Linked DNA regions of Schizosaccharomyces pombe. The protein of the gene in region 2 interacts with the protein of the main gene of each other region in a pairwise test. Each region holds a gene or a part of one and is shown on either strand. Other genes may lie near its edges.

What was found.
Region 1: the proteins of erv2 (region 2) and man1 interact in a two-hybrid assay, tested with the Schizosaccharomyces pombe proteins (2 studies listed by BioGRID).

Annotation. Positions count from the first base shown.
Region 1 is NC_003424.3:5,234,442-5,240,369, reverse strand, and holds man1 (LEM domain-containing protein Man1), read left to right. Parts: upstream 1-1,991; 5' UTR 1,992-2,051; coding exon 2,052-4,586; 3' UTR 4,587-5,214; downstream 5,215-5,928. Other genes in the region: poly(A)-binding protein Nab2, read left to right, coding at 553-1,134, 1,178-1,276, 1,323-1,565; SPOM_SPAC14C4.04 (uncharacterized protein), read right to left, coding at 5,274-5,928. UniProt on the Schizosaccharomyces pombe protein: Required for correct meiotic chromosome segregation.
Region 2 is NC_003423.3:1,006,283-1,009,441, reverse strand, and holds erv2 (sulfhydryl oxidase), read right to left. Parts: upstream 1,489-3,159; 5' UTR 1,425-1,488; coding exon 846-1,424; 3' UTR 732-845; downstream 1-731. Other genes in the region: protein Cwf25, read left to right, coding at 1-643; cut3 (condensin complex SMC subunit Smc4), read left to right, coding at 2,979-3,159. UniProt on the Schizosaccharomyces pombe protein: FAD-dependent sulfhydryl oxidase that catalyzes disulfide bond formation in the endoplasmic reticulum lumen.

The DNA.
Region 1 (5,928 bases), on a different chromosome or scaffold from region 2:
GTTGTGGCGTTATAGTGTCATCGTTAGTCGTTGAATAGTTCTTATAGTGAAATTGGGTATAATATTCGAAAAAAAATTAGCAAACTCGCTATTTTATGCTATTTATTAATTCTTTCTGTTCTTACTGTGAAAGATATTTCTTATATTCCACTTACGTTTGAACTGAGGCTCTTGCTGTATTTTAACTTACGGCTTGCAGTATCAATATAACTATTGCTACTAGAAATTACCTTTAGTCTACGTATTCCATTGAAGCTCTCCGAACGCATCATCTATAGGAAGTTTATTTCTTTTGGAACGGCAAATTTGCCAACTTCTTGTCTGTGAACATATTTTTGTGATTGTATTCTTTCTTCTCAATTCCTTTATTTCATGCTAAGTTGAGCTATTTGATTTCATTTTAGAGCATATACCGGTACATAACTTATTAAATTCTGATTCCATAACAGGAGTGGAATTGATTTACTAATTCTCGGAGTACATTTATTGTAAATTTGAGCATCTCTATTATTTTGGCTTATTTTAGTTAATTATTGACTGTAAACCAACAACATGACTACATTACTGGAAACACCTGGATATAGTGAAAAACTTCATGATTCGATTGAAAAAAAACTTTCTGAATATGGGTGGGGAGAAGAGGCTGCTTCTCTGGCCGATTTTGTTCTTGTGATGCTTAGCAATGGAAAAACACAAACTGAAATTAATGAAGAACTAGTTGATTTAATAGGGTCCGATTTTGATACTAGCTTCTCACTTTGGTTATTTAATCAAATTGAAGAGCTTGAAAAATCAAAAAATGCTTCAGTTGAGTCAGTCAGCAAGATCGACGAAATCGATTTTATCGAGAAGGAGTCAACTGACAAGTCGCAGCAATCTTTCTCTGTGCCGGAAACTAGCATACAACCTCAATCTTCTCAAACTCCTAATATAACTTCGTTACGTGAAGAGAAGGAGCTACCTACTGGGCGTGTCGGACAAAAGCTCAAACTTACATCTCAGAAACAGCGATTCAATCCCATGGCAGCTTCGTTTAACTACTCGAAATCCGTTATGCCTGCTGCCAAGCGTGCTCTCACTCAAACCCAAGAGGTCCCTTTGTGCAAATATGCCGATAAGTGCTCCCGTGCTAACGTATGTATTAATATCAGATAATTTGTTAAAACTAACTCTTTAGTGTATATTTGCTCATCCGACACCAGCCGCAGCCCCAGGAGAAGGTATGGTCCTGAGCAGTGAAATGTGTGCTTCTGGTAAAGAATGCAAAGCTGCTGATGTAAGTACCATAATAATTTAAATCTAACTATTACTAACGTATACAGTGTGTCAAGGGACATCCATCTCCAGCTACGGTTACTACATTACCACCTTTCATGTCCATGTCAACCATTCCAATTCCTTGTAAATATAAACCGTGTTTGAATCCAGCTTGTCGTTTTATCCACCCGACGAAAAGCAGAAATATGACATGGCGGCCACCCTCTAAAACAGAAGAGACGTCCCTGAGTGAACGTTCGTTTGCTGTTAACGAGTCAGAAGAACAACTTCATGTTCCTTCTGTGTAAATTTAGAGAATTATGATACTATTTCGTGTTCGTATAATTGGCACATATCTACTTTTGATAGTCAAGCCAGGATACTTCGTTTAAGAACATACCTTCTAGAGTTTGCAAACTTGATATTTATTTTATTGTATAGATTGCTAAAACGATAAAGTTTTATTTGTCGCTACGTTTGCTGCAATCGGCAATTATCAAGTCGCTAAATTGATTTAAAAAATTTGTTTTCGTTATATTGATGTCTTTTTAGTGAATGAAAATTTTATTTTGATGTGAATTATGCAAATAATGATTTATTTACTTCTTCGGTTAAGTTAATATTATACATATTCAAATACCCACGTTTGTTGACATTCATTACTAAATACATCTTATGTTACTTGTTGGTTACTTGGCTTACACCATGTTGTTGACAACAATCACTTGGTATTTACATTCGCCAGTTTTACGTCTATACACATACCCTTTAGTTAAAAGGTTTTTTTTAATTGAATGGAGGTCCCTTCTTATTTTGACCCCGATTATGATCCTTCGTCTCTTCGAGTAGTAGATTTGCGTAATATATTAACTGAATATCAAATATACTATCCGTCAACGGCGAAGAAAGCGCAGTTAATCACGCTTTTCAGTAAACTACGAAGGGCAAAAAATGGCTTGATCTCTATGACAGAATTGCAGCAAAAGAACGTTCCTCCGTCTTCTCGTAGTCCTCGTAGAAGGGTGGCAGGGGTTACGAATAATGTTACTGCTCGAATTAGCTCTAAGAGAAAAATAAATATGGTTGACGAGGCTAATGATACAGAAATTTCTAAAACTTCACAATTTGAAGATAATGTGATGGGGATGTTACAGGACGAGAACGTTCAAGTTTTGAATACTAACACGATAACCATTTCAGAAGAATCTGAATTTCATGCCTCAAAGATTGCCAAAATAGATTCGCGAAACGAAGAAATAACACATATACCATTTGAGACGCAAACTGAGCTTAATGCGGCAGTTGTAAACCTCGACAACTCAATGGAATCGTCTTTTTCAATTGTCCAGAATTTAACAAACAAGGATTCTTCTGTAGACACCGCTACTTACGATTTTTCTGCAGAAGTTGGTAATATCGTAACACCTGCTTCAAAGTTTTTAGACTATGATCAAAGCTATCTTGTTAATGCCTCCGTGTCGGGTGATCCAACGCCAGTAAAGGTATTGAACACGACGTCTCCAAAAAGCGAAAATCCATTGAACCAAAGTTCTTTTCTCAGTTTCTTAGGCGAAAACCTAAAGCCTAAGTTTACCTCCCGTTCGTCAAGCGTTTACGCTTCTCCTATCAAGTCGTCGTTGAATTCGCTTGAATGTAATCCAAGTAACCTTCTTTCAGTCAGAAAAAATTTTCAACAAAGTTCCGACTCTTATCTCAAATCAAACAAGTCATTTGACCAACTCAACAATTTGGTTGGCTTGTCTACTGGTAATTCGGAGAACTTCACTCCAGAAAATAACAGTTTTTCATGGACTCATCCCAAAAAGAATTCATCATCACCCCTTCCTCAATCTCAATCTTCCTCAATTTTTGTAGAACACCTAAATCAGCTGTACGAAGCAAATGCATCAATTCATCGTCCTGTCAACCCTGCGTTTTCTACAAATTTTGGGTTAGAAGCATCTAATACATCGACGCCAGAGAAGAAAAAATTTGATTCCCAAAAACCCGACGATGATTCGGTTAATGAGATTTCTTCTGATCTCGGTCTTAGTACTACGGGTATTGATCGCGTGGAGGAAAATATTTCCTTGACTAAGGATAGGCAACCTAAAAGGCCATACTTTAGTCTTGGTTCATTCATTTCTTTAATTTTCTCTTTTACCAAAGTGGTAAATTCCTTATGGCTTGTATTGCTTGTCGTACCTCTCTTGGGATTTGTAGGCTTTTGGCATCAAGAAGTACAGCGCGTTGGCTTCTGTGGAGTTCCTGCCGAACCTTATCCTTCTAGTCTATATTATCTCCAACCAGGAGTTTTACGTTCCTCTATTGAGTCTGCATATTCATTTGCTCACTCTTTAGGAATTGAAGCCTCTTGTCAACCTTGTCCTGAGAACGCTGAATGTGGTTTCAATCGTCAGTTATTTTGCAAAGAAGGATTAAAGGCTTCGTTTCCTTTACTTGCAGATTTCGGCTTAAAACCATACCCACGATGTATTCCGAATACCGTGAAGGTTAATAAGGTTGAAGAGATGGTGCAGGCATTTATGTCTATTATCGGAAAGTGGTACTATAAAGCCCCTAAAGAATTTGCCACTTTTGAAAGTGCAAAGAATTTAAACGGAAAATCATTTGTTGACAATTTTAAGGATCGATATTACATGTATAAGCAGGACATCGATAATGTAGTCGGACTTAAAGATTTTAAAGTATATCTGAAGACTACTTTAAACCGTCTATATAATTCAAAGCTGACAAGAAAAGTACTATATTACTTATTTTCTCCACTATTTACTCTTGAGCTATGGAAGCTCCGAGTACGTGGGGCATTGAGTAAATTTCCGACTAATTGTTTGCGATCTGTCTACTCTCATACAGTTTCCTTAATGAAGTATTTGACTTCAGCAGTTATATCCTGTTGGCGAATTTACTTGTTGATTGGTATATTGGCAGCTATTACCGGTACCGTTGTATGGCGAATAAGAGTCTATGCCAAGAAGCATGTAGTAAAGCATGGAGTCTCCGTATGCGTTTCACATTGTATTGCTAAGCTACAAAAAACCAAGCTAAAGTCCTTGACAGATTTTTCTGTCAATCCTCGTGTAGAAGTCGTGCAGCTACGTTCTGACTGTTTTGTATCTGGAGTCGCAGATGACAAGGGCCTTTTTGAACTTGTACATCTCCCTTTGTCAATTCAATTAGAAATATGGGAAAAGGTGGTTTCAGTCCTTGAAGGAATGGTAAGCGTAAAGGTATGGGACAGTGAGCGCTTGGCAAAAAATCGTGCTTGGGAATGGATCGGGGTTTTTTCAGATGACATTGCCTTATAAAATACGGTTAGATATATAAAAAATGACCTTAAGGTCAAACTTTATGAATGTCGTTTGGCATGATGATTTATGAATCTAGATACGAGTGCAGCATCAGTAGGTACTATTATGTCAACATTATTTTCCTCACGTTAATATAATTATTTTTTAGTTATTGCACTTTGTTAAGCACAGGAGCTTATAGATTGAAACACTATCGAAAAATTTAATCAACAGATTCGAAAATTTCATTAATTTAACATTGGTTTTTCTAATTAAAAAAAGAATATCAAATTTAGACCCGAACCGTTTGCATTAGCTGTCTAAAAGAGCATTTCAAATTAGCATTTGGCATCCGGCCTCAATGAAAATAAAGAGTTCCATGTGACAGTTCTTATTTTGAAGGGTTCTGGCATGTTTGTAAAAATTCAATGCCTCGACGGTATTGAACGGTACAGTCTAAAACAGGTCTAATACACTTTTAGAGTTCTAGGACTAAAAATGAACGATAAACAAGGGCCATAAAATGCTCCAAATCAAACAAAAGCCAAACTCGCAAATTGAATTATCTTTATTGCAATATAACTCTAAATACGCAGAAATATGAAATTTATAGAATATGAAATTAAAATAGAATCTGGGAAACTCAACAAAGAAATAATTAACACGTTTAGTATAAGATAAAATAGTAAAGACAAATAAGAAAGATTAATGCAATGCACTTGCTACGAGATTTCGTAAAGCTTTACAAAGTAGTTCAACATCGCCAGAGTAACGACCGGAAGCATAGAAAAACTTTTCGTCCGAATAAACCCAGTGAGCAGTTTTGGGCCCTGGTACGTATTTCGATTCAGGAATATAAGTATAAGTATAAGCCGGAGGATTAGATGCGCCAAATAAATAAGACGCTCTTTCCATATAAAGTGGAGTCGTAGTCGATTTAATCTCAAGATTGGGAGCAGCCCGCTGAACAGCGATTGCTCCTTGAGCCATTGTTGCTAAAACGCGGGTGCCACTAACACGGGCACATAAAGGTATATAGTCAGCTAACAATGAACTGAGACGAGGAGACTCTACAAGTTCTAAAACAGCGGGATCCTGCCCTCCTGGCACATAAACCAAGTCAAAGTTTTCAAAGGTAAAGCTCATATCAGACATATTTGAAGGACTTAAAAATTCTTTGGTAGTTGACATTCTTTCATAAATATCCTTAGTCTTGTATGTGGCACCGATGAACCAAGATTTCACTCCACTTAAAAGGCGCTGATCGGCTTGAGCAACAATACCAGTCAAAGTAGCAAAATTAACCATGAATCCCTCCTTTACAAAAAATTGCCAAGGATCGCAAACCTGAGTAACATCG
Region 2 (3,159 bases):
TGATAGAAAGTCGAAAGAACGGCGGCACCGCGATCGTCATCATCGAAGCAATCAAGACAGAAGCAGGGAAAGGTCAGATAATGAACAACATTCTTCTGACAAAAGGGAGCATTCAAGAAGAAGCTACCGTAATGACCGAAATAATTGGAGAGAACGCACACACAATGATCGCTATCGGCATCGAGATAAATATGACTCTGGTTATTTCAAGAAACATTACGATGATGATATGCGCTTTGATCAGGGTCATTTTCAAGATGAAAGAGACCTAAAAAAATATGTGCGAACAAGCAGACAATATTCTCGTTCACCATCTCCGGATTTCAGGACTCGAAATCACCAATTTCATTCTCGAGACTCGCAACCTATCACTCAAAGGCATACCGATATAGAAAGCCGTTTACAGAAAATGCAAGACAATGCTAAGGAATTAGATGAGTCACGAAGAAAAAAAATTGAACTATTGGAAAAGAAAGAAAGAGATGAAGAACAGTTTTTGGAAAAAGAGAGACGCGATACCGCAAGAAAATGGGATAACCAAGGAGATTTTATCAGAAATATGAGAAAAGAGATCTACTCTGGTGATTCTGTAAGCTTGGCAGATCGTGTGAATAGTAGCCGACATAACATGTTAAGGCCGTAACGTGATTTCTATGTTTTTTCTAATATAACTTTGATGCATAACGATATAACATTTCTGAATAATGAGTGGAAATGACGGTGGTAAACAGTTGAACATATCAGTTTAGGGTTCATTAAATAAATAGCTTAACATCCAAATGCATTGCATGATAGACGGTAATATTTTTTAATAATACATGAATTCTTAAAATTAACCATTGTTATCAACCAGAATAGTCGTGATCTTCGTTAATTACTTGTACCCGTTCAGGAACATTTTCAGCTTCGCTTTCGCGATAGGTCGGCGATCCGATTACATATCTCTCATTAAATCCATCGCATGATGTCTTTGGTTGATTCATTTTCTCATTTAATTGATTGTGTACTTTGCAAGCCCACGTAGTTGCTGCTTTTCGAGAACTTGTTTGTGGAGGATGTACATCTAGTATCTTTTGGAGTTCCACAGAGTATTCACCACATGGCATTGTAATAGCGGAAGAAAATAGATAATGTCTTAAGATATCTCGCTCATCTAATGTTGGTCTGTTTGGATAATTGGAAACAACCGTATGAATTAACTTCCAGTATGCATTTACCATTAAATTATTCGTGTTATTATCGTGCTTCGTGGACATCATCTCAATTGGTTTTCTACCTTGACCTTCTCGATCCGGAAGCGATTTAATTTCAGGCATAAACAGACGCCAATCTTTGTCTACCATAACACTGTGAAAGATCCATATAATAAACGATAAGATTAGTAGGGTAGGGAGAATCACCTGAATTCTTCTATTAAGGATCATGTTTTATAGTATTTAGCTACTTCGTTTTCCCCGTAAGAACACCTTCATCTACCAAATTAATTGTAAAGGAGAACTGCAAGGACAGAAACTCACGCGGCTTTTTTGATCTGATATGCGGCATCGCTATGTTGCAATAACGAGAAGGAATTGATGGTAAACAAAACTAACCTCCTGGGTTATACAGAGCGAGTGCATCGTTATATCTAATGCTAATTAACAGAAAAACTTTTAAAGTAGTAAGATGGAACAGGCTGCTGGATGATCCAATGCATTACCAAATTGATTTAGATAAATGTATTGCCAACCCTTTAATTTTTTTTTTAGATATTAAATATCTTTTATATCAATTCTATATGCTTTTTATTTTAAGACTCAGAAGAGTTTTAATTATAAGTATAGTTAATAGTTAATAAATATGTAGTTTAGTGATAGAGATATAACCAAATAACAACAAAAAAATTAACTAAAGTATCATTATTATAAAGTCCATTGCTAGGTTTTATCACTATAAAATTTTTTTTAAGTTTGGAATTATTTACTAAAAAAAAGAAACTTAACGTAAATAAATAAAAACTAAGAGGACTTGTTAGTTTTTGTTTAAAAAATAAATAAATAAATAAAGAAGGAAGAGTTTAGCTAAGTTATCAAGTGAGCATAGATAGCATATAATAATCTATGTTTACAGATTTAAATGTTTTAAAGATAAATTACTTGCAATTGCTTGAAGATATGAATTTGCGTTTGATTAGTTTAAATCAAAATGTAAGAATTTTGGGTTAAATTAACATATGGCAAAAGGCTTGTCAAGTTTAAAGCTAAAAAAATACAAAACAATAGTGAATTTGAAAAGTTGTTCTAAAAAACTTGGACAAATCGTTTCCTTGCATTAACATTTCATTTAAAGAGCTAATCTATTTATATTACTTACTGATTATTCTTTATTCGTGGTTATTTCACACATAGGGCTACCCAAACAAGGTAAATTTTTGCGTCGTCTTGCTAGATTTAATGAAGGAATACAGAACAAAAAATCTTTGAGCTTTATATTTATTGTGTGAATTGAAAGAGGATGTTTGCTTGTGCTAGTAAAAACTTAGAAACAGCAATGTATTCTGCTCGTCCTTTTAATATTTTGCTAGTGTAAAGTGTCAGAGCAATATTCTCTTTTACTTAATTTTCGTTTTGAGTTAACTTTCAACGTCCAAGAATACCAAATTGACTAGCATAATAATTTAATGTATAATAGACACATGAGTTTATAATTACAGGTAAAAAGATGTTTGAAGTCTTCCTTTAAATCAGGTGTGTAGGTATAAAATAAATAGATCATTTTCATCTAACATGACCTGTTTACACAATTATACTTCAGTCTTTAGTTTATAAACATGGGCTTTAGTGTAATTTAACTGTGGGTTTTTGTATATTTTATTCATTAATTGACTTCATCGTTGGGTGAAATGCTGTTCAACCGTTGTAAACAACACACCTCTTTTCACGACCACCCACTCTTTTAGAATTTTAAGTAATATATAATTTGTTGAAGATACTATCTTTATGTCTGACAAGGGCATCTTTCGAACGTCTTCAACACCCTCGATTGTGGATGTTACGCCAGATCGTGGTGAAAGGCCACGAAAGTTGGTTCGCTCAGTGCTAGAATCTCCTTCTCAGAAAGATGTCGCATCAATTGTCAAGATAGAGCAAACACCATCTCGCCCATTTTTCAATGACTTTT